Linked DNA regions of Rattus norvegicus. The protein of the gene in region 1 purifies or fractionates together with the protein of each later gene. This does not show direct contact. Links are inferred from orthologs where the notes say so. Each region holds a gene or a part of one and is shown on either strand. Other genes may lie near its edges.

Region 1 (15,365 bases):
AGTCTACCACTGCCTGGCTCTCTGTAGTTTTTATTAATTTATCCCTCTTTTTCCCTCATGTAAAAGGACAGTAGCTCCTACTAAATTCATGCCAAGCAACTGAAGAAGTTAGATGGGACACGAAGGTGCTGTGCTGCTCAACATTAACTACCATAAGTAACTACTTAGCAGTGTCAATGCCTCCTATTTTTCAAGCATAAGTGCATCCAGTTTAGTTTCCTTTACTCAACCTTGTCAGGAGGTAGGGAGTTTCTTACCTGTCTTATAGATGAGGGAAGGAAGAGGCACAGCAAAGGCTAATCATACAGTAAAAGGACAGGCTGCATTAACAAGGATACTCTGCTTGTGATCTACCCCTAGTCATGGAGTCCAAGGGCCGCCCATATGAGGCAGTCAGACAAGAGAGGCCAAGGCATCTGGCCCATACAAAATAAGCAGCCATAAGAAAAGGGAGCCTGACTCCAGTAGCTTACCGGGGTGAACCAGGTAAAGGAAAGGGGGAAACAAACACCCGCCCAGGCAGGCACCTTTGTACATCTCTTCTTCTAGTTCAATCTCCAGGGCCGCCGCTGCTTGCTCGATCCATGAGTTGTGCAAACAAGCCTGGAAGTTCCGGTATTCAGCTTTTTCAATCTGCCGGGCTAGACGGATCCGCTCCTGAGGGGGCAGTGACACAAAAGAGTCATGTGATAAGGGGCTGGGCCTCTCAGCAAGCTTACTGAAGCAGTTTTTAAACTGCAATGTGGCCAGTGAGCAGTGAGAACCAACACAGATCCTACAAACCCTTGCTAACAGCCCAGGTGACCATCACGACCACAGAAGCCCGCCTGCACCTCCTTAGAGCTCTGTCCCAGTGAGCTTGTCTCCCCTTTCCTCAGTCCTTTCTCATGGGTGTTGAGGTCCCACTGCAGTGACGACGCTGTGCTTATCCTGACACGGAGAGACCGTGTGTAGTGGGAATAAGCATGGAAGTGGGGTGACTTCCAGGAGCCTTACCAGGAATTCTCTACAATCCCGCTCTCTACCAGCCCCATCTAAATCCTCACACAACCAACATTCATGCCAAAGTGCTCACATACCCTTAAATCGCCCCTTGTTTTCACGCCCTCAATGCCCGTATCTCCCATCTTCTCTTCACCCTCATCTCTGCAGTAGAACGAAGGCTCTGCTCCCCACATCATAACCACACACCTATCGGGCCCATGCTTCACAGACACCTCACTGTGCTGGGGGCTTACCCTACACACACACTGGTGAGCCTCGGGAAAACACCCCATATTACACCCTAATACACTGGGGCCCGGGGTACCCAGACATCACAGCGGATGCTCCTGAGCCTTACGGTCCCTGCTTCAGGGAGCACCAGGCCTTCAGCATTCACCTCCCTGTTCACAGCTCCCTGACAGATGTCTCTGTGGCTGAGCTCTGGAGCAGAAGCAGGTGGAGATTTCAGGACCAGATATCAAAGTGAATGAGGGGCAAAACGCAGACTTTTCTAGTCACTCCCCCTTTCTGACTTTCTCCTAGAGCTGGCACTTCCAGCCTTTTAACAAAAGCCACTGTCTAGCCACTGGCAGAACCATTTCTCAGTTCCCTAGGGTAAGGTGCTCTGTGAGGAGGCGGTGCACTGGAATTTAATATGTTTACCTTGACCATGTCCATGTACTTTGACTGCACTGGGAACAGTGGGATGTCCTCATCTTTCTTGAGAGTTTTGTAAATCTTCTTGAAGTTGATCACATCCTCAGGCCCAATCAGCATCAAGCTGAGGCCTTCACTGGTAGCACGAGCCGTCCGACCGCTTCGGTGGATATAAATCTCCGAGGTGCGAGGCACCTGCCAAAGCAGCAACAAGGGTCAGCACGCAGACAGACAGTGCCCAACAAGGGTCAGCACGCAGACAGACAGTGCCTAACACCGCTCTTTCCCTCAGGGCACACCCAAAACTGGCTCTGTTCTCGGAGGGACAGAAAATTTACCCGTACATGCTGACACTCAGACTGTGCTTAAGTCGACAGTCTACCCACTGTACAGGTTCTACCCCACCCCCATGGCCTCCAAAATGGTCCAGCTCTTCATACTCAATCTGATTGTTTTTCTCGTCTTCTCCACTCTCACTCCCCTTGTGACCAATACCATCTACTTCAGTCTCCACTTGGAAACCCCACAGACTCCTCAGCTCGGCATGACCAGTGATGGTACATTTATAACCAACAGTTACTGAGTGGCTGCTTTAAGCCAACCAATCACAAAATACTTCGTATGTGTTCGTTTGAATGAGAAGTTCTCTGTTAAGTTTCAGGTATTTGAACACTTGGTCCCCAACTGGCAACTGTGTTTTTGAGGCCTAGGAGGCATCACCTTGCTGAAGAAGTTGTCACTGGAGGCCAGGCTTTGAGCTCACAAAAGCTGGATACCATTTCCAGCACTCGCTCTCTGCTTCCTATTTCCAGCTGAGCTCGCAGCTGCTGCTCCACCCACTCCCACCTGTTAGCTCCACTCCCCGTCATGAGCTCACACCCTCTGGAACCCTGTGGAACCGTGAGCTAAATAAGTCGATTCTTCTCTAAGCACCCTGATCACACTGTTTTACCACAGCAACAGAAGTGTGATAAAGACTATTATCCTAGTCATATGAAATACTTCATCACTGTCTACATATTATAGACGCGGAAACTACAGAACACTCAGATCCACCACTTCCTCTAGGTTATCCAACTCCATGACCACGTTAACCCAGGATGACCTGTATAGCAGGTGTGCTGTCCACAAGCACGTGACATGGGTACCTGTGCCCTCTTCCCTGACTCCTGTAACCACCACCACTAATGAAGTGCAGCAGGCTCAGTAACACTACGAACCGTTTACCATGATTCTAGAAATGAGATTTGCCATTCTTCATCAAGGGCCAGCTCCTTCCCATGACTCTCTAGCTGCAGCCACCTGCTCCCAGCTTACTCTGCAGGCTCAGAAACTACTCACCTACTCCCTTCCCAACCAAGTCCTGTGCTCTCCCCAGGCTAAGTAACCCTGTGCTTGCTAGGTTTTCTCAATTTGATGAGAAATGCTGCCATCAGAATGAGCGGCCTATAGATAAGCCTGTGGGCATTTTCTCCATTTATGGCAGATGGAACAGGACCCAGCCTCAGTGAAATCACTGTGGCAATGCCCCTTGGACAGGAGGGCCTGGGTTGTATTAAGCAAACTGAGTAACCCATGAGGAACAAGGCAGTAAGCAGCACTCCTCTGTGGTCTCATCTTCAGTTCCTGCACCGACTTCCCTTCATGCAGACATAAGCTGTAAGGTCAAACAAACCTTTCCTTCCCAAGTTGCTTTTGGTCATGGTATGTAGCATAGCAGCAGAGCCCTAAGACATACCCCAAGCATGCTCCCTCCATACATTACCTGTCCCCCTCTGCATGTCCCAACCTCTCCATCCCAGAATGCCAGCATCTTCTAGAAAGCACTCAGCGCCCTCTCAAATTGTATCACATGTGGTAATTTTCTAATATCTCCTGCCTCATGTTATGGTGGGGGCCACATCTCATTGCTCCTCTACAGGATGTGGTGAATTCTTAGGGCTGGGACTGTACTGTGTGGTGATGACATCTACAGCAGACCCAGTCCCTCTATCACAGAAATGTGCTACTCTGAAATCTACACCCTCAAAAGATTTTTAAATGCAACGAAATTAAAGATGAAAAGCACTAAAAACATCCTACTAGAAGCCGGACTTTCCACACTTACAGTGTCAGGTGTCACCATTCACTCAACTCAGCTCTCAAAACAACCCTCAGGGCAGGAGTGGGTGCCGCTTCCAGCCTACAGGTGACATACAGAAATGAATGGTCCCAAGTACCTGTGTGTGTGGAGAGCCAAAGATGGAGTCCAAGTGTCAGAACCTCCTTCCCAGCCGTGGGATGGTCTGCAGCCACACTCACCACCTTAACCAGTTGCTAGAACATATTTCAGGGTGTGAAGGGGCCTCTGTGTTTTAAATCTGACTGCCAGTTTCTGGTGATAGTCACAGCATCCCTTATGAATATTTAGGAGGATGCAAAGCAGATGTAAATATGTGAAACCATACCTCAGCGGGCATGCCCTCAGTGGGGGAGGGCTCTCACCTGCCCAAAGCTATGGACACTAAAGCATCAGAGTGGTGCTCAATTCCTGGCAGCAGGATCTGGAGCCCACGCTTCCAGCTACAACTACATGGTACTGTTGGTTTGTCACAATCACTAACGTTACTGCTACTACTGACCTGGAACATGTAGTCAGTGTTTCCAACTGGCTGCCCAAGCTCTTTACCTTTGTGCCCTACTAACCCAGAGATGCACAACCCTGTCATTTACAAAATGAGAAAACCAAGGGATACAAACTATTTATTGAAGGTCACACAGCCAGGATTTAGCCAAGGGCAGTCTTAAGTTCACTGCCCTTGAACTGCACAGCAGCCATTTAACACACAGCTGTGTGTGAGGAGTCCTACAGACCCCCCTGCACACACACACCCCAAAAAAACTCCAGGGTATTGCCAAGACTAACTGTTGCTCTCCACAAGCTGACGGTAAAGCCCTTCTGCTGAAGGCCACACCTACAGAATTCACTGAACATGGAGAAGTGGAGGTGCTGCCTACCTAGAACCTTCCTAGAACTACTCGAATCCCTATGTACCAGTGCTATGTGGACTAATGTCCACAGTATGAGAAAGTACTCTGCATGTTACCAGAAGAAAAAGGTAAATAGCAACCCAGCTACCAACCCCTCCATCTACCATGGTGACCTGCAAGAGTGGCACAAACACTGTGGGAGTGACTGGCCGTATGGGACTGGAATCAAGGCCCACACCTTGAGACAGAACCCATGTCTGACACTGCTAGGCAGCCAAGAAACTGACACATACCCAGGGGCAAACCAAATACTACTGTTCTGTTAAAGGAACACAGCAGCTAAATGGCTCTTTAATAGCATCCTCCTCCTGTACTCACAGAGCAGTGTCTTGCTCAGCTATCATCAATAAGAAGCTTTCTCCTGAAGCAGATGGGAACAAATACAGACACACAACTGGACACTGGAACATTAAGTCTTAGTGAGATGTCTCCATCAAATTCCTCCTCTCAGGGCTCAGGAAACATTGTGGAAGAGGAAAAGTGGAAAGACTGTACAAGTCAGCAGGTATGGAAGACACAAGGAAATGAGGCCTTCCTGACACAACAGGACCGACACACGTGTGAACTCAGAGACCGAAGCAGCATGCACAGGGTCCGCACAGATCTAAGATCTAAGCCAAGGGCCCTAGGGCCGAGAAGAGGGGTGAATACAAGCCCCCATCCCCAACCCGGAGGCTATCTGTCTTCGACTGACAACCCCTGGCATAAGAAAAGTTAGTTTTCTCCAGCAGTCTCACTGGGTATACAAACCACGCTTAGGGTCAGGCCCCAGGCCCCGCAGTACACGGCCAACACAAAATGAACTTGACAGTATTTTCAGAGATTTCCTCTTCTTCTTCTTCTTCTTCTTTTTGGTCTTAAAATGCTCCCCTCCTTCCCTTTACAGGTTTTTGTTTATATATTATGGTTTCTGATTCTGTGGTTTTCTGGGATTTTGTGTATGGGAGTGTGTGCCTTTGTATCTGTGTGTCTCTTGTATTTTACAGTTGGACTCTGGCTTGTTTGCTTTGCTTTGCTTTGTTTCAGTTGCCTATTTTGTAAAGAGAGAGAAAGAAAAAGTACAGATGTGGGTGGGTAAGGAAGATGGGAGGTGGGGAAGATCTGGGATGACCTGGGGGAGAGGAACTGTGATCAGAATATAGTGTATAAAAAAAATCCATTTTCAATAAAAACTAAAATTATTAAAAATCCTAAGCCAAAATTATGTCGCTGTGGTCTATCCCCACCAAAACTCATGCTGAAGCTAAATTCTTTGGTGTTACAAGTACAGCAGTGTTAGGAGGGGCCTAGTGGGAGGTGTCTGTGGATGGGACAGAAAGAGAACTAGAGTTCTTGCTCTCCAGGGTCTGGACTGGCATGAGACACACGCCAAGGCTGTCTCCCTCCTGCTTACCTCCTGCTTGTCCTTCCACCAAGGCTCCCACAGAAGCTGAGCGGATGCTGGTGACACGCCCTTGGATTTTGCAGCCCCAGAATCAATAGGCACACCCTCTTTAAAAATTACCATGTTTAAGGCATTCTGTCATAGTGACAGAAAACACTAAGCTCACACTTTCATCTGTCGATATCGAGTAGCCTGAAGAGAAAGGCTACTTGATAGGGCTCTCACCAAGTATCTGAAGAGCAGTAACAGTGAGCACTGATGCTAATGAGAACCTGTTACAAGGAACCTGAGGAGGAATATTCCTCCCCTCTGCTCGACTTCTGCTTTAACATTTCCTCATTCACTGCAGGGGTGGGACAGGGGATGAGGAGCAGGGGTGTGTGTGTGACAGGGGATGGGATGCAGGGGTGTGTGTGTGTAGCATTAACACCAAGAGCTGTACCTGGTAATGGATGACATGCTGAACTTTAGGAATATCCAGACCCCGAGCTGCCACGTCTGTTGCCAAGAGAACACAGCTGTGTGGAAATAAGCACACCATAATTATAAATAACAGTAGTTATCAGTCAGCTCAGCACCTGCTAAGCTCTCCACACTACAGCCCTACCAGGTAATACTAGTATCTCACTTCTACAATCAAGAACCCGAGACTGAGAGATTCACTTTCCATGGTGTGAACATGGCTAGTCTGTTGTGAAATCAGGACCCCAAATCTGGGTCTTACTGTCTCAAGCACATGCTGTGTTCTGTGCTGTGAATGAAGTGAAGCCATATCCATTCTGGGTCACCGTCCTTGTCTCCTAATACCTTCTCGCTATTCTCCGCCATCCTGAGAGACTGCCTCACTCTTCCTAGACAGACACCATATGCCCACTCCCTGCACCACTGGTTCACAGGCAGATGGACAAACATGGAGAGATGAGCCATGGGCTCTGGAGTCTGACAGAAATCTGAGACCCAGCCTGTCATTTCCATGTTGTAGGAGTCATCTGATCATCTAACGAAGTGAGAAGAGCAACGGAAATAAGCAGTAGTGGGTCACTGTGGTTACGGAAGGCCACCCTGGCAGGCACTGCCCACACTTTCCCTGCACTGCTCCCAGTCACTCCATTCTTGCAACCCCACGCCTGTCACCCTACATGTGAGGCAGTGAAGCACAGGCATGCTGGCTATCTTGACCAGCGAGGAAGTGAAGGGGTCAGGATCTGCTCTCAGATACTCTGGTTCTGGAGGCTGTGCTCTCTCAATCACAACCTATTCTGTTGCTTCCAAGGATGCTAAAAGTTAAGGGGATGCCCAGGACTTCGTTTATTGTCTAATTACTGGAAGTCTCTGTAACAACATTAATAGCAAAAAAACGCAATGAATGAATGACTTTGCCAAATACAGAGATAAAATTAAGGAAAAAAGAGCTAGCCTGCCTTGTGCTGCTAGGGTACCTATGACAGAAGGTGGAGTCCCTAGTTCCCTGCCCCACTGCCCTCCTGAGCACAGTGGCTCATGGTTCAAGGCCTCTGGAGACAGACTTCACTTACTCTTCCAGCCGAGCAAACTGCTCCAGGTTTCTGAGCCTTTGCTTCTGGTGCATGCAGGCATGCAGGGTCAGTGGCATGATATCCAAGACCTTGAGGAGCCCAGAGAGGCGTTTGATGCAAGAGATGCTGTTGGCAAATACCAGGCTACGACCTGGGTACTGCATGAGAAAATAGTAGAGATACAAGTCTTTCTCATCTGTCTCGCAGTGGATCTTGGTCTCCGTCAGCGTCTCCACTGTGCCCTCATTCCTTGTGAGGTCAATGACTTTCGGTTTGCCCCGCATGCCAATCTTCTGCATGAGAAGGTCAAGTTTGGCAGTTTTATCCATTTTCTTCACGTGTTTCTTATGAAGGATTCGTGCAGGAGCTTGGTGTACCAAGGTTAGTGTGGCAGAAAAAACAAGAGTTTGGCGATTGGGGTTGTACTGGGAGTCATTTAGCATCTCTAGCAGCTGAGAGAGTTCAGCAAAATGGTCTTTCTCAACCATCCGATCAGCCTCATCTATGACCAGGCACCTGCAGGGAAGGAAACCTCTATAAGACATCCTGCTTCCACCCCACTTGCATGTTTTCATCCGTGGTGCACACAGCACCCTGCCATCACTTCTAGGCACCCATTAACTTTTCTCATGCATGCTCAGTTTTTGAGAAGAGGGCCCGGATGGCCACAAGATTCTGTAATAGTGAGAAAGCATTGCACACACCAACCATGCAGCCACCTCAGGCTTACTTCAGAGATGGTTAAGGGGGAAGGGGGAGGGGCCACCTCTCACCTGAGCTGCCGAAGGTTACTCAAATGAGGGTGTTTTTCTTTGATTAACTCCCAGAGCCGACCAGGGGTGGCGATCACAATCTCAGGATGGCGGTTCAGCATCCTTTGCTGTTTCTGTGTGGACATTCCACCGACTAAAATTGCTGTATTGATCCCTACAGGACAGAAACCAACAGATACTGTCATTCCCTCTGGCTGCTCATCCTATGGATCAGCACGCACTACCCAGCACAGCTTTCTATGCCAAGGAAATGCTGCCACAGTTGGCCTGTCCTGACTTTTAGAGGCTTACCAAGTAGTCTGCACTTTGTGGTCTGGACCCTGTCTACTTTGCCATTTCTTCCCATTCTCTCCTTAACCACAACAGAAAGGCTGCATTTGAACCTCGTCACTTATTTCCAGAGCTCTGAAGGTGAGCAGTGTTGGACCAGAATGCTGGGAAGGATGTTTATGATGTGACACGCTATAAGGAGCCCTTTAGGGTCTGGTGTGTCTTCTCTCTAAGAGAGAATCGCTCTGGAGCCGTTGGATAGAAGTGAACTCACATGCTAACACAGCTGAGGCACTGAGCAAGTACGCTGGGCTTGAAGAACTCAGCCCTGCAATGTGGCTCTAGTTACGATAAACACCACACTGTGAAAACCTTTCCCTGAGGAACAGAATTATGCTTCTATCTCAAAGCAGGGACCTTTTGTTCTTAAAAGGTCCGGCTACTCACAAACATGTTATAGATCTGGTCCCCTTGAGGAAATTAAACACCTATCGACTGATTTCTAAAGGACTTAATAGTCCAGCAGATGAGAACACTCCCCTAGGACAGGAGCCACAACTCTTACTCTTGTCATCTGGCATTCAGAGACCTGCTTAGAAACAGTTACTAAGTGAAACTAAATCTCACCTGTAAACTTGGCCACAGCATCAATGTGTTGTCTGACCTGGACAGCCAGCTCTCGGGTAGGAGTCAGGACCAGTCCAAGCAGAGGGCGCCTTGGGTGTACTTTATAAACAGCAATTTGGTCACACAACTCCTGCTTTAACTTTCCAGCCTGCTCTTCATCCAACTTTTCTTCTCTGTCCTTACTTTGCTTTTCCTCGACTAAGGAAGAAGGCCCTTCACCAGCATCATCATCACAGAAGAGCCCTGCCTGGGCTGAGGCAGCAGAAGCGCCAGCCTTGGCTGTGGCCTGGACCCCAGAGTCACTGGGCTGTGCTTCAGTCTCAATTGTGGCCTCTTCAGGCAATACTCCAGACTTCGCTCCATCCTTGCAAGGTGAGCCACGATGGGCTGCAGCTCCTAACCTCGGTGGCACTCCAGCGCTACTTGGGATGGGTGGAGCCTTCATCTTATGCCACTGCAACACTGAGTGAATCATCGGGATGGCAAAAGCCAGCGTTTTCCCGCTTCCTGAGAAGTAAAGCAAGACCAACAGAAATCCATGATGCGCAAGTCATTGTTTGAAGTTCCTGCCTTTGCATAGAAATAAGGAAACCTCAAAGAGTCACGTGCCTCCCTGACTGACCCAAAGCACCAGCACTCTACACAGGTCCTCCAGCACAGGGATAGCACGCATGGTGCAGTGTGAAGTCACCAGAGACACCAAAGTGAGGAAACCATAAAAGCCTGAAGGGTCAGTCTTGTCCTGTGGAGAATCTGTACAGCACATATCCCTAAGACCCTTTTCAGTGAAGGAAGGAATAAAATAAATCACTCTTTTCAGAAATCTAAACATGTTTGACTTTATGCGTGAGTGTTTTCAAACTGACCTCTGAAGGCATAATGGAGCCCATAACACCTAAGGGTCAACCCAGGAATTAGAAGTAGAGATTTTCTCCTTAACTCATTTTACTTTCTGCATTTCAGCTACTCATGGTCACTTATGGTCCAAGAAGTTATTAAACTGATAATCCCATAAATAAGGATTTCAAAAGTTTTAAGCCATATATCACTCCAAATAGTAAGGGGACTCGAACACTGCCTGGCGCCATCTACACAAGACAGGAGTCTTCCTTCTGTCCCACTATAAATGTTACCCACCCATGAATATTATCAGACTATGCGCCCTGCTTATGTTCAGGTAGCTCTTACTTTATCTACTGGTCCTACCACCTGAGAGTAGTTACCCCAATGAGCAACTCAGACAGGCTAGAGCTAGAAGCTGTAAAGTGTTTTTCTCGAAATTCTCGAACTTAGAGAAAAAAAAGTCATGAATTGGTTACTAAGATCTACAATATGAATGAATGTTCTTTCCATGAAATTGTAAAGAAGTTTATGTTAGTTTTGCTGTTATATCAATCTGCAGAAAGTATGACCATGGAGCATGAATGCTCAAGATATAAACACATTCAATCTATAAATGTTCAGGGGAAACAATACAAACAGGGTTCAGCAGTATCTATCTCATCTGTGTTTGGGGGATCTTCTAGGGGACCTGAAAGGTGTCCTTCCTGGATACTGAAGTTGCCAGGTAAGAATGCCCCAGACAAAGTCAATGCACCAGCTCTGGAAGAAAAACAGTCCCAGCCATTAGCTTCGGAGAGCTCCGATGGGGACGGGCCAAATGGGCCAGTGAGACGGCTCAGCTCAGCCGGTGCCACTTAAGTCTGAGCACCTGAGGCCACTCCCAAGATCTACATGGTGGGAGTTATGAACTGACTCCCACAAGTTGTCCTCTGGCCTCTATAAACAGGCCTTGGCTTGCACAAACTTATACATCAATGTATACACATACAGAAATAAATGTTTTTTAAAACTTTGAAAAAAGGGAGAAAAAACTTTTATGAAGTTTTCAAAGAAAATGACAGTTCTAAGTGAAAAATAACCAAACAAGCAAAGCATTAGAAGAAAGAGCTCAAACAAACAAACAAAAAACCACAAAACACCTGGAAAATTTAAGGGAAAAAAAGACAGTAAAAGCCGAAACATAACAGCATCCGTATTTAACAATCTCAGAAAAGTAAAACTGACAATCAGAACTATCTAGAAAAAATTCCTTTAAGACAAAATACAAAACAAAGGCTACTTTTGTGCTATAAAGAATGCAAGCCGAAGTCTTCCAGGCAGACAAAAGATGGTGGTTTAGGAAAAATATCATTCAGCCATGGAAATATCCATCCACATAGGAACTGAAGTGTATCAGAAGTTACAAAAACAAAAGAAACTGTTTTCTTTTTAAACCTCTTTAAAAAAAATTGCTTACAGCAAAACAGTAAAAGCATATTTTAGAATTTCCATCACAAAAACAGAAATACAAAACAAAAAGCACCAAGGAAGGGGAGATGGAAATTAGCCCTTGAGAGGTTCTCATGCCACACATGAGGCACTGTATCACTCGAGGGTAAACTACAGTAGATGCATATGTACAACTTGTGACGTAGTCTGTGACCCTAAAGCAAACACTGAAAGACACAGCAAAGGCCTGGCTACAAGAGAGGAGCCAGACAGTGCCTTGAGTGTATACTGGGTCTCATTCGCAGTTCTGAAATGAAACCCTTGGCACTTTTTGATATGTATATTTAGTTGTGGTATTTAGTTTTCCTCTACATTCCTGGTGTAAGACACAGACGCTCAAAAGGGTCTTTTTGTAAATTAATTAGACTGTGAGCTAAAGACTAATTGTCTCCAGAAAACTGCAAGATAGGAACTGGTGGCTGCAGGGCTGGAATTTCTGCCCGCATGCATGCACACACGCGCGCATGCACGTACAGACACACAGACACACACACACACACACCCCTCCTGACCACCAGAGAGAGGGACTGAAGATCAATCTCCAAAGATGGAGGTTTTTATCAATCATGCTCATATAATGGAAGCCCTATAACACTACAAACAATTTAAAAAGCTTCCAGGCTCGAGACTGCATAAAAAGGTGACATGCCCAGAATGGGTGCACAGAAGCCCTTTGCCCTCTTACTAGCCTCAATGTTTAGCCCTGTCAATCTCTACCAGGCTATTCCCAAGTTATATAGCCTTTAAGCCTGTAAACACTTCTCCATGAAGTCTGGGAGTCATTGAGAAAAGTATTAAACCCTTGGGGGTGGGGGTAACATGGGCTCCTTAATCTGAAGCTGAATAAATCAGGACTAGGGGATGCTCAATAAGGAAGTAGTCTTGTTAAGACTCGGAACAGAGCTTACAGGGGAATGACTTTCATTCCAGGTATGTCAGAAGAGAGCTGCACTATAGGACATCTGACTCCAGTTGAGGTAGAGAAATAGTTGGCTTGGTAAAACCTCAAGAGAACCTGTTCTATCAGAAGTGCATTGTAGTTACAAACATCTTGTTTTCTGTTGTTTTGAGACTGGGTCTACATCTCCCTGGCTGGATTGGAACTTGTTCTGTAGACCAGGTTGACTTCAAACTCACAGACCCTTCTGCTTCTTAAAGGCACTAACCTTCATGGTTTTTGTTTTCAAAAAGTTCCTAATTCAAGTTGAGTACCACAACCCAAACATCCAAATTCCCAAATGCTAAAAATTTTTATACATTCTTAGTGCCACCAAGACCTGCAGGCTTTCTGTTTAAGGAGTGTATGAAATACATGAATTGCATATATAGACTTGGATCCTACCCCTCATGTTTAATATATAAACCTGCTAACAGATTGTCAGCCACATGAAACAAAAAGTTGGATAATATTTTAAGTGGAAAAGAATCACTCAGGGGGAAATGACTAAAAGAAAACAATGCTCTTATTTTAAAATTTAATTCCGTATTTAAAAACCTTCCTGGATAGGAAAGAGCAAGTCCAGGTGAACTCTAACAAATATTTAAGGCTGAGGAAAACACCAATTATTTAAACCCACTCTGATAACTGAAACGACAACACTTCAAGTTAATGAGACCAGTTTAATGCCAACACTACAAGAAAACTACAGATGACTATTCTAATGCCACAGCCGCACTTGACCAAAGCCAGTGATGTATAAACACACTGTGACAAGCTCACTATGTGTGAGGAAAGTCTGGTTCTCACTTTTGGAAATCAATGTAATTTGCTTTATCAGCAGACTAAAACCAAAAACCTACATACCTCAATACATACAATATGAACATGTGTAAAAACTCTGACATGCATTTTTGATTTTAAAAACTCTCGGTAGAGTTGTGAGAGAACACTCTCAATCTGACGCGGTCCAGCTGTGCAGACACAAAGTAGTGTTCTCACCTCCATCTCACCTTGGGCCTCAGAAACAGAGCGGAGTACCAGATTCAAGCAGGACAGATTTCAGCCCAGAGCTGAATGGTTCTAACACCTTCCGTGGCTTTTGTGGCCACATTCCCAACAATCCCCTCTCCTAGTTTCCCAGCCTGTGAGCAACCAAAGGCTGGCTCCAGGAGCTCTACCTAGGGCAGACAGAGCATCCCTTACCTGTCTCAGCAGCTCCAAGGATGTCCAGTTTGTCACGGATGGCAGGGGCCAAAGTCAGCGCTTGGATTGGGGTGGGTGCAGAGAAACCTAGAAAGCTGAGAGCTCGGAGAACAGCCTTGGGTACAAACAGGTCCCTCCAGGCCGACACGTCTGCCTTCTGGTCTTGCACCTCAGGCATCCACGTCTTAGCTTTTTTGGGCACTTTGGGGGCAGTGCTCTGAAAAGTGTCTAATTTTTTTTTCCCTTTGTTTTTCTTCTTTCTTGGAACAGTCTGTGCCAGGCTTTCCGATGTGGCTCCTCCTACCTTCTGATCAGAACACACAGTGATTTCTCCCTGAGCCCCTGGCTCAGAAGCTTTCCCTTCACATTCATCCTGGGCAGCGCTGCCTTCAGCAACGAGGATTGCATCTCTCTGCTTCTTCAATTTGATCTTTTTCTTTGGGGAGCTGGACTCTCCCTCCTCCTCTTCTTCCTCTTCAGACACAGCCTGGGCCTTTCTCTTCTTGGTCGTCTCATCTGAGAACAAACGGGAGGGATTCTTGACTAAGCGGTAATCTGTCAGTTCCTCAAAGCACACCAAGTCATCCATCTGTCCATCTGCAAACAGATTTGGGTCGATCGTCACTTGCTTCCATTTCCCCACAACCTTGATGCCCTTCCTCTGAAATGTGCCACGGCTTGCTGACTTGGGCTTCGATTTTGTCTCCTTCAACTTCATGGTTGCTGAAAAGAAATGCTCTTTTGGGTTAGTGACTGTGGAGCACAGGTTCAAGGGCAACACACACTTTCCTAAAATGTACTCAACCCTGCAAACAGTTGAGGACATGAAGATGGTTTACCCTGCATAGAGAAGATGTTCTCATGCAGAAAATGAAACCCACTCACAGAATAGGTAGTTGGGCTTGGAACAGATGGGACGCAGGCAACAGAGTAAAAAGATACATGAGCTAACTCTGGTTCTGATCCTAGCTCCAACACTTAACTTGTTGCAACCTTCAACCACACTCCCTACTCCTCTCAGAATTTAGTGTTATAATCTTTTTAAATGAGAGGGGTGTGGTACTATCTAATAATATGTAATTTTAAACTGTACACAAAATAATTGAAAGTAAGAAGAGATAGGCTGATGCTTGACCAGTTAGTTACTACAGAAGTCATTTTGAACACGGAGTAAGAGTCTGAGAGAGTGTGGTTTTTTTTTTTTTTTTAAAACAAGTGCACTGTGCTTTCTTCCCTAGTAGAACCAGAGAAGTCCCATTTCTATTCTGGCCTTCGCCAGATAGGTTAAAACCCGGGAAGTCTAGGTTCCAGCCCCAGCACTGTGTAAAACCGTATATAGTGGGTATCCAGCCCTCGGAAACGGAAGTAGGAAGATCAGGAGCTCAAAGCCAGCCTTGGCTACACAAGACCCTGTCTTTAAAGTCTGGAAGGCAGTTATGCATGACTCTATGCATGACTCATCTGAGTGAAAGTGGCTTCACATTGGCCCTCTTTATATGAAAAAGAATATTGTGGAGAGCATTAGGTAAAACTCGATTCAAATCTGGATCCTGGACTTGCCAACTCTGAGTGTTTGCTGAACATCTCTGTGCCTCAGTTTCCTTAACTACAATTTGAGGATAATGAGATAT
Region 2 (15,911 bases), on another chromosome or scaffold:
AGAAATTGAAGAAGACCTCAGAAGATGGAAAGATCTCCCATGCTCATGGATTGGCAGGATTAATATAGTAAAAATGGCCATTTTACCAAAAGCAATCTACAGATTCAATGCAATCCCCATCAAAATACCAATCCAATTCTTCAAAGAGTTAGACAGAACAATTTGCAAATTCATCTGGAATAACAAAAAACCCAGGATAGCTAAAGCTATCCTCAACAATAAAAGGACTTCAGGGGGAATCACTATCCCTGAACTCAAGCAGTATTACAGAGCAATAGTGATAAAAACTGCATGGTATTGGTACAGAGACAGACAGATAGACCAATGGAATAGAATTGAAGACCCAGAAATGAACCCACACACCTATGGGCACTTGATTTTTGACAAAGGAGCCAAAACCATCCAATGGAAAAAAGATAGCATTTTCAGCAAATGGTGCTGGTTCAACTGGAGGGCAACATGTAGAAGAATGCAGATCGATCCATCCTTATCACCCTGTACAAAGCTTAAGTCCAAGTGGATCAAGGACCTCCACATCAAACCAGACACACTCAAACTAATAGAAGAAAAACTAGGGAAGCATCTGGAACACATGGGCACTGGAAAAAATTTCCTGAACAAAACACCAATGGCTTATGCTCTAAGATCAAGAATCGACAAATGGGATCTCATAAAACTGCAAAGCTTCTGTAAGGCAAAGGACACTGTAGTTAGGACAAAACGGCAATCAACAGATTGGGAAAAGATATTTACCAATCCTACAACTGATAGAGGGCTTATATCCAAAATATACAAAGAACTCAAGAAGTTAGACCGCAGGGAAACAAATAACCCTATTAAAAAATGGGGTTCAGAGCTAAACAAAGAATTCACAGCTGAGGAATGCCGAATGGCTGAGAAACACCTAAAGAAATGTTCAACATCTTTAGTCATAAGGGAAATGCAAATCAAAACAACCCTGAGATTTCACCTCACACCAGTGAGAATGGCTAAGATCAAAAACTCAGGTGACAGCAGATGCTGGCGAGGATGTGGAGAAAGAGGAACACTCCTCCATTGTTGGTGGGATTGCAGACTGGTAAAACCATTCTGGAAATCAGTCTGGAGGTTCCTCAGAAAATTGGACATTGAACTGCCTGAGGATCCAGCTATACCTCTCTTGGGCATATACCCAAAAGATTCCTCAACATACAAAAGAGACACGTGCTCCACTATGTTCATAGCAGCCTTATTTATAATAGCCAGAAACTGGAAAGAACCCAGATGCCCTTCAATAGAGGAATGGATACAGAAAATGTGGTACATCTACACAATGGAATATTACTCAGCTATCAAAAACAACAAGTTTATGAAATTCGTAGGCAAATGGTTGGAACTGGAAAATATCATCCTGAGTGAGCTAACCCATTCACAGAAAGACATACTTGGTATGCACTCATTGATAAGTGGCTATTAGCCCAAATGCTTGAATTACCCTAGATCCCTAGAACAAACGAAACTCAAGACGGATGATCAAAATGTGAATGCTTCACTCCTTCTTTAAATGAGGAAAAAGAATACCCTTGGCAGGGAAGGGAGAGGCAAAGATTAAAACAGAGACTGAAGGAACACCCATTCAGAGCCTGCCCCACATGTGGCCCATACATATACAGCCACCCAATTAGACAAGATGGATGAAGCAAAGAAGTGCAGACCGACAGGAGCCGGATGTAGATCGCTCCTGAGAGACACAGCCAGAATACAGCAAATACAGAGGCGAATGCCAGCAGCAAACCACTGAACTGAGAATAGGTCCCCCGTTGAAGGAATCAGAGAAAGAACTGGAAGAGCTTGAAGGGGCTCGAGACCCCAAAAGTACAACAATGTCAAGCAACCAGAGCTTCCAGGGACTAAGCCACTACCTAAAGACTATACATGGACTGACCCTGGACTCTGACCCCATAGGTAGCAATGAATATCCTAGTAAGAGCACCAGTGGAAGGGGAAGTCCTGGGTCCTGCTAAGACTGAACCCCCAGTGAACTAGACTATGGGGGGAGGGCGGCAATGGGGGGAGGGTTGGGAGGGGAACACCCATAAGGAAGGGGAGGGGGGAGGGGGATGTTTGCCCGGAAACCGGGAAAGGGAATAACACTTGAAATGTATATAAGACATACTCAAGTTAATAAAAAAAAAAAAAAAGAATCGACAAATGGGATCTCATAAAACTGCAAAGCTTCTGTAAGGCAAAGGACACTGTAGTTAGGACAAAACAGCAACCAACAGATTGGGTAAAGATCTTTACCAATCCTACAACTGATAGAGGGCTTATATCCAAAATATACAAAGAACTCAAGAAGTTAGACCGCAGGGAAACAAATAACCCTATTAAAAAATGGGGTTCAGAGCTAAACAAAGAATTCACAGCTGAGGAATGCCGAATGGCTGAGAAACACCTAAAGAAATGTTCAACATCTTTAGTCATAAGGGAAATGCAAATCAAAACAACCCTGAGATTTCACCTCACACCAGTGAGAATGGCTAAGATCAAAAGCTCAGGTGACAGCAAATGCTGGCGAGGATGTGGAGAAAGAGGAACACTCCTCCATTGTTGGTGGGATTGCAGACTGGTAAAACCATTCTGGAAATCAGTCTGGAGGTTCCTCAGAAAATTGGACATTGAACTACCTGAGGACCCAGCTATACCTCTCTTGGGCATATACCCAAAAGATGCCCCAACATATAAAAAAGACACATGCTCCACTATGTTCATAGCAGCCTTATTTATAATAGCCAGAAGCTGGAAAGAACCCAGATGCCCTTCAACAGAGGAATGGATACAGATGTGGTACATCTACACAATGGAATATTACTCAGCTATCAAAAACAATGACTGTATGAAATTCATAAGCAAATGGATTGAACTAGAAAATATCATCCTGAGTGAGGTAACCCAATCACAGAAAAACACACATGGTATGCACTCATTGATAAGTCGATATTAGCCCAAACGCTTGAATTATCCTAGATGCATAGAACACATGAAACTCAAGATGGATGACCAAAATGCGAATGCTTCACTCCTTTAAAGGGGAACAAGAATACCCTTGGCAGGTAATAGGGACACAAAGTTTAGAACAGAGGCAGAACGAACACCCATTCAGAGCCTGCCCCACATTTGGCCCATACATATACAGCCTCCAAACTAGATAAGATGGATGAAGCAAAGAAGTGCAGGCTGACAGGTACCGGATGTAGATCGCTCCTGAGAGACACAGCCAGAATACAGCAAATACATAGGCGAATGCCAGCAGCAATCCACTGAACTGAGAATAGAACCCCCGTTGAAGGAATCAGAGAAAGGACAGGAAGAGCTTGAAGAGGTTAGAGACCCCATGTGTACAACAATTTCAACCAACCAGAGCTTCCAGGGACTAAGCCACTACCCAAAGACTATACATGGACTGACCCTGGACTCCAACCTCATAGGTAGCAATGAATAGCCTAGTAAGAGCACCAGTGGAAGGGGAAGCCCTTGGTCCTGCCAAGACTGAACCCCCAGTGAACGTGAATGTTGGGAGGAGGGTGGTAATGGGGGGAGGATGGGGAGGAGAAGCCCATATAAAATGGGAGGGAGAGGGTTTAGGGGGATGTTGGCCAGGAAACCGGGAAGGGGAATAACAATCGAAATGTAAATAAGAAATACTCAATTAATAAAGATTAAAAAAAAGTAAGTGCCAGGCCAGCCAAGGCTACATAATGAGACCTTTTCTCAAAGCAACATAAGTATTGTTTTATGTGTATGAGTATTTTGCCTGAATACATGCAAGTATGCTACATATGTGACTGGTGCCGGAGAATGCCAAAAAACAACAGATCTCCTGAAACTGAAGTTACAGACAGTTTTAAGCTGATACATGGATGTTGGAAATCAAACCTGTGTCTTCTGAAAGAGCAGCAAACACTTTTAGCCACTGAGCCATCTCTCCAGTTGACATAGCCAATTGTACATCGTATCTTCTAGAAATAAGAGAAAACACTTTCCATTTTTTTCTATTCTGTGTATGAGGGTCTGTGAATCAGACCAATATAAGATAAATGTCAACAGAACAGAAAATCAGAAAAGGAATTGAAGAACTTGATGACATAATCAAGTCGCAGGCCCTAGGCCAGGGATACAGCTCTAGAGGTAGAAGGCTCTCCTAGAATGTGAGTCGTTGGATTTGACTTCAGTACAACATGAACCAGATGTAATGGTTTCAATTAGAATGCCCCCCCTAGGGTGATATATTTGAGTACGTGGTTCCTAGTTGGTGGAAACTTTGGGAAGAGTTAGGAGGTGGAACCTTGTTGGAGGACATGTTTCACTATGGGAAGGCTTTGAGGTTTCAAAAGCCTATGCCATTACCAGATAGCTTTCTGTCTTCCTACTACTTGTGGATTAGGACATATGCTCTCAGCCACTACTACAGTGCCCTGCCCACCTGCCTGCCTACCCCCATGCTCCCTGCCATGAGTGTCATGGGCTCACTCTCTGAAATGTAAGCTCTAAATAAACTCTTCCTTCTACAAATTGCCTTACTCGTGATGTCATCCCAGTAATAGAAAACTAAGGTAGATGAGTTGAGCATGCGAGAACGTGGGAGGTAGAGGCTTTAATGTTTGCAGAAGATGGGCTCTCTCAGCTCCCAAGCTTCCTGCTACTGTTTGCTCCCATGACTTCTCTGCTCTCCTGCATTCTTCCTCTGGAACTATATACCAAAATAAACTCCTTTCCCTATAATGTCCATTGATCGTGGTGCTTTATCACAGCTGCAGGAAAGTAACTGATACACTTAGGAAGAGGGAACTTCAGTTAAGGAGTTGCCTCCATCAGATTGTCCTTGGGAGTTATGTTTTGGGGCCATTTTCCTGGTTGCTGGTTGACATAGGAGGGCCCAGCCCACTGTGGATGCTAACATCCTTTGACAGATGGCCTGGTTTATATAAGACAAGTGGTTGAGTATGAGCCTGGGAACAAGCCAATAAGCAATGGTCCTTCATGGGTTCTACTTCAGTTCTTGCCTTTGGATTTTAACCTATAAGACAAAATCTTGTTTCTCACTCAGGTTAGTTTTGGTTTGTTTTATCATAGCAACAGAAAGAAAACTAGTACAGCCTCAGAGGAGAGCTTGCTGGAGTTGGTTCTCACTTTGTACCATTTGGGTTCCATGGTCCAATTCAGCAGTACTTAACAGCAGTAGCCTTTACCCTCTGAGCCACCTTGCCATTGCCCTCCCCCTTTTGTGGAAACTGAGAAGGCCTCATACATTGCTGGCTGTCTAGGTGCTGCTTACTCAGAGTTTGAAATAGAAGCCAGAGCTTCAAAACAGGCATGTAAGCTCTGTACCGAGGCTGTACCTCCAGCCCCTCTTACAGTGTTCTCAATGTCATGATATTCCCCAAAGGGATTTAAGGAAGCCACATCTCCTCAGAACTTGCTCTCTTAGATAAAGACCTTTTTGTATCCCCTGAGTCTCAAAAATGTTTGGCTTAAAATAATCTTCAGACCAGGTCATTAAGATGGCTTGACAAGTAAAGGCACTTACCACCAGCCCCGAGTCCCCAGAACCGATACCGGGGAAGGAAAGAACTAACTATTGCAAGTCATCTTTTGACCTAGACACATGTGATACAGGGCAAAGGTGCACACACCCATACTCATTGACAGGCGTACACACAAAATCAATCAATCAATTAATCTATAAGTAAATAAACAAATGGAGAAGACAGAAAGACAGTTTTTAAATATTTATTTATTCCATGTATATGAGTACACTGTAGCTGTCTTCAGATACACCAGAAGAGGGCGTCAGATCACACTACAGATGGTTGTGAGCCACCATGTAGTTGCTGGGAATTGAACTGAGGACCTCTGAAAGAGCAGCCAGTGCTCTTAACCACTGAGCCATTGCTACATCCCAAGACAATTATTTCAACATAAGAAAGTCTTCAAACTTCTTTTTTTGTGTGTGTGTTTTCTCAAAATTCCTATTGTGTTATCTAAAGAAACCTACTAGGGAGCTGAAGAGATGGCTCTGTGGTTAAGAGCCAAAGGACCCTGGCTCACAGTCCTTAAGTCCATGTTCTGATACCCTCTTCTGTCCTCGGCACACACATTACACATATAGGGTACACATACAGACAGGCAAAACACTTATCACATAAAAATAAAATAAATAGGGACTGAACAAGTAGTTCACAGTTAAAAATATTTTCTACTATTCCAGAGGACTTGAGTTCAGTTCCCAGTACACTGGGCATCTCACAACAGCCTGTAATTCCAGGTTCAGGAGATCCCACACCATTATTCTCTATGGTCACCTGAATTCCTGAACACATAAAGACACATGTATAATATCAAAAATACAAATATATGTTGCACTATGTTGTGGAGATTTCCATGGTGAGGACTGGTGGAATTTCAAGTCCTGAACCTGAGGGAACTCAGGGACTGGTGGAACTTTTTTCTTGTATGCCAGAGTCTGGTCACTCTCCCACTTCTGGGCGGTTAGAAATCGTTAGGGATGTTAGGGAAAGAGGGGGACATGTGGAGATTTGGGGAGGCTGGCCATTGAAGCTCCTCAGGCAGGGGCCTGACCACTTTCCTGCTTGAGTGTTTACAAAGTTTACAAAAGGAGTCCATGGCAGGAAGACTTTCCCTATTGCTTGTAGGCCTGACTAGCCAACAGACATGGATAATGTTTGGGACTTGTAAATTTGTTTTGAGTCCATGGAGCCCAGGCCGTGGTCGAACTATGCATATGAGAACCGCTTTGAACTCCTGATCCTCCTGCCTCCACCTCCCAAATTCTAGGATTACAGGCGTGGGGCTCCAGTCATGGTTTATGCAGAGCTGGGCAAGCACTTCACCAACATTAGCCTCCGAATAATTTTTAATCCGTCTTAGAAAGTCTTTTAGATTGTGGTCAATAGGTGGCGCTCGAGGTCGTCCAATTCCAAACACCAGGGCTTGCTCTTCTTGCTACACTCCCGCCTCTGCTTCCGCTTCCGAGTAGTGAAAAGAACGTCACTTCCGGAGGTTCCGCGTGGATTAACTTGTTCGTGCTTCTCCAGTATGGCCGAGTATTCAGGCCCTGCGAAGCCGACTCTGGCGTTGAACCCGCGGGAGGACTCGCAGTTTGAGAAGGATCTGACGCAAATACAACGGCGCGCGAAAAAGGTGAGCGGCGGGGCTCTCTGGCCGCGCTGACTCGGGAGCCCACCTCTCACGGGCTCTGGAGACTGAGGCAGGCAGGGAATCGGTGTGAGGTTTGACCCTTTAGGCCCTCAGGGCTCACGTGAAAAAGGAGGTGTACCACGTGTGGGGAGCATGGCACCTCCAATTCCCAAAATATGTTAAAGCTGTCACATTTCCGCTTTGGCCCGCAAAATGGGGGTTCAGAATGAACCACAGCATTTGGAAGGTATGTATGTCCCCTTACGTTGTAGTGCTTAGTAGACGGAACAGACAAATCCAGGTCCTTGGACGAGCGGGGAAGCAGGAGGATCGAGAGTCAGAAAACAGCTCGGGCTCAGTATTCAGACCAGAGCTTCGCCAAAGAAAATAGGGATTACAGCCTGCCAAGCTCTGTTCCCAGACTGCCCCGAAAGGAAGTTTATATCCCCTTTGGTTTTCAGCATGAGGTGCACTGGAGAGAAAGGAAGATTTTCTTTCTTGTTTTGCTGTTGTCCTGGCGGGGGTGTCTTTTGTGCGGGTTGTTTTTGTTACAGTGTCTTTGTAGAGTTTTTGTAGCACAAAATTGCATCACATTTGCCGTGCAGTCTAGTCCTTGAACCATATATCCACTGGGATTACAGGTGTAGGTCACTATAGGTCACCCAGTACCCTACCTGATGGGAAACAAGTTCTTGTTCTCTAAGGTGGTGACAGAAGTATAGTCTTCACTGTGAAGGTTAATCGGAAATGATTCGATGTAATAAGCTGCCATCTGAGTTCAGAGTTGAAGGTCTTGGATTCGGAGTGACAATGACAGACTTTCACTTGATTGTCCATTAAGGAACACATGTGCCGACTGCTTTGTAGGGACAGGTGGGTGTGCATGCACACCACGGCACACATAAGTCTGTCTCTGCAGAGTCTGTGGCTCTGTGTGATTGAACTCAAGCCTCAGGTTTGCACAGCGGTGCTTAAGAAAAGAGATACAGACACCTAGTTTTTCAGTTTCTGCTGTGATAGAGAAATGTTCCCGGACCAAGAGGAATGAAGGGTGTTGAAAATTTTGTTGCAGGCCAGGTAAGGTTACATTTACCTTCAGTCCAGTGCTGGAGAGACAGAGGCAGGCAAAGCTCTACCTATCCTCTGAAAGGACTTTAGAAAGCTGGGGGGTGGTGGCACACACCTTTACTCCAGCACTCAGGAGGCAGAAGCAGGTGGGTCTGTGTGAGTTTGAGTCTGGCCTGGTCTACAAAGCTAACTCCAGGACAACTAGGGCTACACAAAGAAACCCTGTCTCAAAAAAGGGAAAAAAGACTTTAGAATTAAATTTTTCTGAAGTTAAGGAATGGTAACATACCTTTGTTGAAAAATAAAGTCCTTTGCAGAGAGCATAGTAATGCCTTTACTCTTAGTATTCATGAATTAGAGGCCAGCCTGGTCTACATAGTGAGTTTCAGGCCAGCCAAGGCTCCATAATGAGACCCAGGTCAGAAAAAAATGTGTATATACAATGTTTTGGTGCAGTGTGAATTTTTTAAAATGTTTATCTGTTTTGTCCTCAGCAGAAGAAGGAAGAAAAACTTAACTCTGGAGTAGTTTATCTGGGGCACCTACCTTCAACGCTCTCTGAAAGCCACATCTATGACTACTGTGCCCAGTTTGGCGATATTAGAAGATTCAGATTGTCCAGAAGTAAGCGGGTAAGATTCTGTACCTGAATTCAACTATGTTTATTTTGCTTGTCAATTGTACGGCCTCCTTTGTATTCATAGGCAAAACTTTGTTACCTACAAAGTTCCTACTTGGGAACTCTTCACAAGCGAAGCAGCATGGTGGCTCATACCGTTCGTCCCGGCACTTGGGAGACAGATAGGTAGACCACTGAGTTTGAAGCCAGTCACAGCTACATAATGTGGATTTCTATCTCAATAAAGAGAGAAAAATAATGAGGCTGTGGAGATAGCCCAGTTTGTAACTGTCCATCTACAGAACCCAGGTCAAAAGCCAGATATGGTCACATACATGTGTAATCCCAGTGCTAGGAAAGTGGGAATGGGGTTCCTGGGGCGCACTGACTAGCCAGCTCAGCCCAGCTCCAGCCCAGTGACAGGGTGACTGAGACCTGGGGAAATGGCCCAATGGTAAGAGCACTCGCGCTCTAAACAGGAAGTAGAACACACACACACGCACCTTTTCCTCAAGCACCAACTGAAAGGCCAAGTGAGCCCAGTACTGGGAGCTGGAGCCTGGATTGTAGAACTTGCTCCCAGCCAGTTTAGCCAAAACAGAAGTGGCAGGTCAGTTTTTTGGTTTTGGTTTTTGGTGGGTTTTTTTTTGTTTTGTTTTTTGTGAATTTGCTTTTACTGGGGCTTAAATCATGCGGTGGGATTTGTCTGTGGTACCACACCAGCTTCTTAAGGCCTGTTGCCCACTGGTTCCTCCCTGGAAGAGAATTTCCAACTCTTGGGGTTTCTGCTGGTTGCCTTTCCTAGTTCTCTGAACAATCCTTTCCCTTGGGAGACTTGTGCTGCCCCACCTGTCTCTACCTCCCTCCTTGGAAACAAGGTGTTGTTTTGTCTGAGTCTTCCATTTCCTGAGGAGGCTCCTGAGCTTTGGCTCTTGGTGGGTTGAGTTTCGTGGATCCCTTCTGGAATGTACCTGCTGTCTCCTGCAGGTGCCCTGGCTAATACAGCCAGCAGCTTTTTTTCCTTTGTCAAGTGTTTGTCCAGCTTCCTGATAATCTTAGCAGCCACTGCCTCTGCCTGAGTCATAGCTGCTAAATTCTGTAGACTCCACAGTCTCACGGAATGGCTACTCCTCACTTGCTCCAGAGGCCTCTCCCCAAATAACATCTATGGGCCCCTCTAAGAAATAATTGATTCTTGATGTACTGCTGCATTTATTTAACAGCTACCAGGAGATGTAGCCTTTGTTCACCGCTCAACTAGTGAAGGTACAGTGAGCAATGAATCCATATTTGCTCCAGAAACATGGTTCCACTTCCAGAGCCTAGAAGTGGCTCAGATACTAGGATGAGCCATCACTCCCATGACAGAGGCCATGTGTTTCAACAGGTTTTTAGATTTATATCCTGTAAGCACCTTTAAAGTGTTTGGGTTTCGTTTGGTTGGTTTGAGATGGAGATTAACTGTGGAACTCTGGCTGTTCCAGTCTTGCTACACAGACTAGGCTAGCCTTGAACTTGTAATTATCCTACCTCTGCTTCCCACATATTAGGATTATAGGCATTCACCACCATGCCCAACTCAAAGGGAATTTTATTATTTATGTGTATGGGTGTTCTGCCCGTCTGTGTATTTGTACACTACATGCATGCCTAGTATCTGCAGAAGCCAGAAAGGAGGACATCAGAGCTTCTGAAATAGGGGATTTCAGCTGCCATGTGGGTGCTGGGAGTTGAACCCAGGTCAAATGTTTTTTTTTTTTTTTCATCTTTATTAACTTGGGTATTTCTTATTTACATTTTGAATGTTTTTCCCTTTCTCGGTTTCCGGGCCAACATCCCCCTAGTCCCTCCCCCTCCCCTTCTATATGGAGGAGGTTCCATCCTCCTCCCATTACCACCCTCCCTCCAACAATCAAATTAACTGGGGATTCAGTCTTGGCAGGACCAAGGGCTTCCCCTTCCACTGGTGCTCATACTAGGCTATTCATTGCTACCTATGAGGTTGGAGCCCAGGGTCAGTCCATGTATAGTCTTTGGGTAGTAGCTTAGTCCCTGGAAGCTCTGGTTGCTTGGCATTGTTGTTCATATGGGGTCTCGAGCCCCTTCAAGTTCTTTCAGTCCTCTCTCTGATCCCTTCAACAAGGGTCCCGTTCTCAGTTCAGTGGTTTGCTGCTGACATTCGCCTATATATTTGCTGTATTCTGGCTATGTCTCTCAGGAGAGATCTACATCCGGCTCCTGTCGGTCTGCACTTCTTTGCTTCATCCATCTTGTCTAATTGGGTGGCTGTATATGTATGGGCCACATGTGGGGCAGGCTCTGAATGGGTGTTCCTTCTGCCTCTGTTCTAAACTTTGCCTCCCTATTCCTTGAATGCTCTTAATTAGCCACTTAACTGCTCTTTTGTGGGTTTTCTGTTTCAGACTGGAAACAGCAGAGGCTTTGCCTTTGTGGAGTTTGAGTCTGAGGATGTTGCCAAGATAGTTGCAGAAACAATGGATAACTACCTTTTTGGTGAAAGGCTTCTATCATGTAAGTACTCTGACCTTTCCTGCACTGTGATTGGATTAGGAAGTTACCTGTGGGGTTGTATTCAGGAAGAGAAGCAGACCGATCTTTAACGGGTGTTTGGGAATAACTTTGCTCAAATTGGAAACTGATGGGGTTAAAGCCCAGTGTAAGTGTCACATGCCTTTAATCCTGGGAGGCACAGGCAGGCTGATCTCTCTAAGTTCAAGGACATCCGTGGCTGTGTAGAGGCTTTATGTCAAAAAATGGAAAAGAAAACGGACGGTTAGATAGTCATGAGCCAATAAAGGGACAGCAGTGCAGCCTGAGTTCATTTCTTACCAAATGTTAGGGAACTCAACTGGGAGAGATAGATGGGCTATAGGTCAGATTCTTGACACCCGTAAAACTAAGAAGTTAATGTGAGGCCTGTTAGTGGAGTCTATACAGGGCAAGACCAAGAGTAAAGAATCACATTTCAAGATCAGACTCATCAACGATGGGTGCAGCGCTGGCTGTCAGCCCAGCTCCAGGCTCAGTGAGAGGCTGTTTGAAGGAAGTAAAACCAAGAGTGAGAGGGTAGAAGACTACAAGGAGCCCTCCTTGTTCTGCACAGATGACTCACCCACAGATAGGCATATAAATTGTTCCCACAGAGATCGGTAAGTAGAGCCCTGTGAACCTTGTGCCCCATCACTGAAACCTGTGGCATCACCATCCAGATCTCTGCCTTGGAAGGTAGACCTAAGTGCCCAGCCTGCCTACACCCATGGTAGCATGTGCCCTGCCTGGGACCAGTTTACAGGCATACAGCCTCCTGTTGGGAGAAAGTGGCTGGACAGAAACCTGAGGGCATAGGTGCTCTGCTTTATCTGGTTTGAGGAAAATACCAGAAAGACTCTGGATTTTACTGAGTTTTTTTTACTACAAATCTTTGCCCCGTCCAGGGTAGAGAGGGCTTATGTGGGACTGGGAGTCTAGTTTAGCTGGTAGAGTACTGGCCCAGCGTTCACAAGGCCATACAGGCACATACACTGCATCTGATGGCACTCACCTTTAGTGCCTGTATTTGAGCGGTGGAAGCTGGAGGACCTGAAGTTCACGTTCATTGCAGGCAACTTCAAGGCCAGCTTAGGCTGTGTGAGAGCCTGTGTTAAAAAGAAAAAAAAAGAAAGAAGAGGGCAGAGAGGTGGGCCACCAGGTAAAGCTGCTTGATGTGGAAGTGTGATAGTCTGATCCCTAGATCCCACATCAAAGTAGGAGAGAACCAACCCCCAGAGTTGTGCACTACCTCCACAGGCATCAGGGTATGTGAACCTACACACATGCACACTCATAGACAGTAATCATTGTTTGATGCTTAAAGGTTATTTCTGTCAAGTAGTTAGTTCATATCACAAGAAATAGCTATCTGGGAAATACAAAATTAAAAGAACCTTTCCTCTTTGTTTGTTTTATAGGTAAATTTATGCCACGAGAAAAAGTTCATAAAGACCTTTTTAACCAGTGCAATGTTCCGTTTCATCCGCCATCATTTCCAGCAGTGAAACGCTATAATCAGAAACGAGGACATTTGCAGATGTTAAAGATGGAATATCGGTTTAAGAAGAAGGAAAAATTACTCAGGAAGAAACTAGCTAAGAAGGGTATTGATTATAGTTTTCCTTCACTGGTAAATATCCTTTTCTAGTTTTCTTGGTGGTTTGTCTTACAGGGATGAGCTTCCTGCCTCACTGGTTGTAACTTGTGTCTGTGATTATACAGAATCTGCTTCTCACACTAGGTTTTTGGTTTGGTTTGTACATGTGGCTCTTTTGGTTGATGGGTAACCAGGCTGGAGCCTGCCCATGCGAGGCAAGTAGTCTGTTGCTTTTAATGTTTCTGGTACTGAGGATGGAACCCAGGACACTGAGCCTGCATCATCCATCCCTCCCACCCTCAAACTCTAGCCCCGTTTAGAGAAAAGATCTGGCTGAGTTGCATGGACAGGTTTGAGCAGTTTGTAGCTCAGGCAAGCCTTCAGAGACCCTCTTGCCTCTGTATCTTGGGATCCTGAGTAGATAGATGAACTTGCTTATACTAGTGGCTGCTCCTGTTGTTGTATTAAGAAGACTGGGTCTCTCATTCAAGCTGCCATCAAACTTGTTATGCTGCCAAGAATGGCATAGAATTTCTGGTCTTCCTGTCTCTGCTTTCTAAGTGCTGGGATTACAGGCATACATAATGATTCCAGGTTCGTGCAGTCCTGGAGGTATAACCCAGAGCTTTAGGTATTTTACTTTGTATGAACTACATTCCCAGGCCCCTGCCAGCTTTTTTTCCCCCAGTATAATTTCCTGTCTGTGTACCAAGTGGTTGCCAGGTATCCTTGGAGACCAGAAAAGAGTGTTGGATACCATAAAACTAGCTCACAGATAGTTGCAAGTCACCATCTGGGTGCTGGGAATTGAATCTGCGTCCTGAGAGAATGGTCAGTGCTCATAATTGTTGAACAATCTCTCTAGTCCCTAGCTTTTTTTTTTAAACCAAGGTCTTGCTCCATGGTCTAGGCTCCCCCAAATTGCAGGCTTTTCTGCCTCAACTTTCCAAGTACTGTTTATAAGCATGCACTACTCACCCTGGTTACTTACATTCAAACCATTTGGCAATTGGACACTGATACTTAAAATGGGAATTCAGCTACCACATATGCATATAGCTGATAAATATGCAAATTGTTTATTTGCAGGTCCTTCCTAAGCCAAAGAAAGAGATTTCAAGCATTGCTAACACTCATGGGGATTCTGAGGCTAACCAGGTAAGATAATCTGGATAATGGGCACTGGTTACTATAGAAATACTTTCAGGAGTGTTGGCAAGACTTGGAACAAAGACACTTGCCAGCAAGCCTGGCTACCTAGTTCAGACACTGGATCTCACATTGTTGAAGGAAAGAGCTGACTCCTAAAAATTGTCCTCCGAGCTACACACAACACACACACACACAACACACACACACAGACTAATCAAAAAAACTTTTTTTAAGGTAAAAAAGTAATTTCCACTACTTCACGTTTTGTTAAAGACTTCATATAGTTGGTGGGTGTTTGGGGGTTTATTGGGGCACTTTTTTGAGATCTAGTAATTGATCTTGAAATCTTGAATATAGCCCAAGGGAGCCCCAATGTTACACAGTAAGCCCCCAACTAAAGTGTTCTGAAGATGAACCTCCCATCCTCCTGCTGTAACTTTAGGCTAGAACTGGTCTCTTGCATTGTGAGAGAGTATCTTTTTTTTTTAATTATTTATTTATGTATATGAGTACACTGTCGCTGTCTTCGGACACACTGGAGGAGGACATCAGATCTCACTACAGATGGTGGTGAGCCATCATGTGGTTGCTGAGAATTAAATTCAGGTCCTCTAGAAGAGCAGTCAATGCTCTTAACTGTTGAGCCATCTCTCCAGCCGCAGCATTGTGATTTTTAAAACCCTAAAATTGTGTAGAAGCTGAGTCAGTGAGAAAGAGCACTTGCTACAGAAATATGAGGACCTGAGTTCAAATCCTAGAATCCACATAATGTCAGATTCATGCTTTAGAAGAGGGGAAACATGGACATGTGACACTTGCTGGCCACCAGTCTAGCTTCAGGTTCAGGGAGAGACTTTGTCCAAGGGAAATAAAGATTTATAAGGTAGGATACCCAGTGTCCTTTTGGCCCAAGCAGGTTTGCATACACACATTTGTGAGCCATGTGGGTGCTAGAAATTGATCCTAGGTCCTCTGGAAGAGCAGCCGGTGCCAAACCATCTCTCCAGCCCCCTGATCTTCATTATCTTGTCAGTTTAGCTAAGATGTTCTTCATGTTCTTTCAAGCTGGAAATAGTCATAATAATCAAAATCAGAATGAAGCAGGTGAGCATGGGGCTTGTGATTGTGTATAGGTTAGATTTCAGCAACCCCAGGAGCAAGAAGTGAATTAGCAGAGGCGTTTCTCTGGTGCTGAGTCCCTTGCTAGTCAGGAAACAAGATAAGGAAGCCTTGCTGGACTTGGCCCTCTGTCTGCGACATTAAGGAGTCCCAGGTGTCTTTCACGAGGGTTGACAAAGGTTTCCTTAACTGACTCTTAGAATGTCTTCTGTCCTCCATAGAACCTGTCAGCTTTTTCCCCACATAACTGTAATTAGGTGGCATCGATTTCCAAGCTTTATTGTGCCTTCCTCAGAAGCTAGGTATCTGTTGCTTCTTTGCCCCAATCTCAAGTGCAGAAGCATTGTGTCAAAACTTGAGGACACGCTGTGGTGTGCTCCTAGCTGAGATAGGCGTGCACCATGCCATCTGGGCATAGCACAGCCTTTCTTTACCCTGTTAACATGAGCAAGAAGAGTAAGAGGTCTAGGAGGAAGCAGTCGTCATCTGTGGACAGCCAGGTGAGCATGTCCTTGTATGCTGGGAATCAGTTGCTATAGACATAATTTGAAGGAGGAAAAGCAGTCTTCCCTTGTGTCGAGGGAAAATAAGAACAAGCTGAAAACAGAT

What was found.
Region 2: the proteins of Ddx24 (region 1) and Nifk purify together in Homo sapiens (affinity purification with mass spectrometry; 3 studies listed by BioGRID and IntAct, counting the BioPlex papers as one, with this or other methods). This does not show direct contact. The link is inferred for Rattus norvegicus from reciprocal best matches to the Homo sapiens genes DDX24 and NIFK.

The regions. Positions count from the first base shown.
Region 1 is NC_086024.1:128,330,882-128,346,246, forward strand, and holds part of Ddx24 (ATP-dependent RNA helicase DDX24), read right to left. Parts: intron 14,458-15,365; 5' UTR 14,453-14,457; coding exon 13,735-14,452; intron 9,768-13,734; coding exon 9,261-9,767; intron 8,518-9,260; coding exon 8,364-8,517; intron 8,107-8,363; coding exon 7,591-8,106; intron 6,574-7,590; coding exon 6,498-6,573; intron 3,861-6,497; coding exon of another isoform or gene 3,795-3,860; exon of another isoform or gene 3,749-3,794; intron 1,837-3,748; coding exon 1,648-1,836; intron 658-1,647; coding exon 528-657; intron 1-527. UniProt on the Homo sapiens protein: ATP-dependent RNA helicase that plays a role in various aspects of RNA metabolism including pre-mRNA splicing and is thereby involved in different biological processes such as cell cycle regulation or innate immunity.
Region 2 is NC_086031.1:31,939,083-31,954,993, forward strand, and holds the start of Nifk (MKI67 FHA domain-interacting nucleolar phosphoprotein), read left to right. Parts: upstream 1-7,063; 5' UTR 7,064-7,095; coding exon 7,096-7,200; intron 7,201-8,759; coding exon of another isoform or gene 8,760-8,762; coding exon 8,763-8,897; intron 8,898-11,307; coding exon 11,308-11,416; intron 11,417-12,852; coding exon 12,853-13,064; intron 13,065-14,120; coding exon 14,121-14,189; intron 14,190-15,911.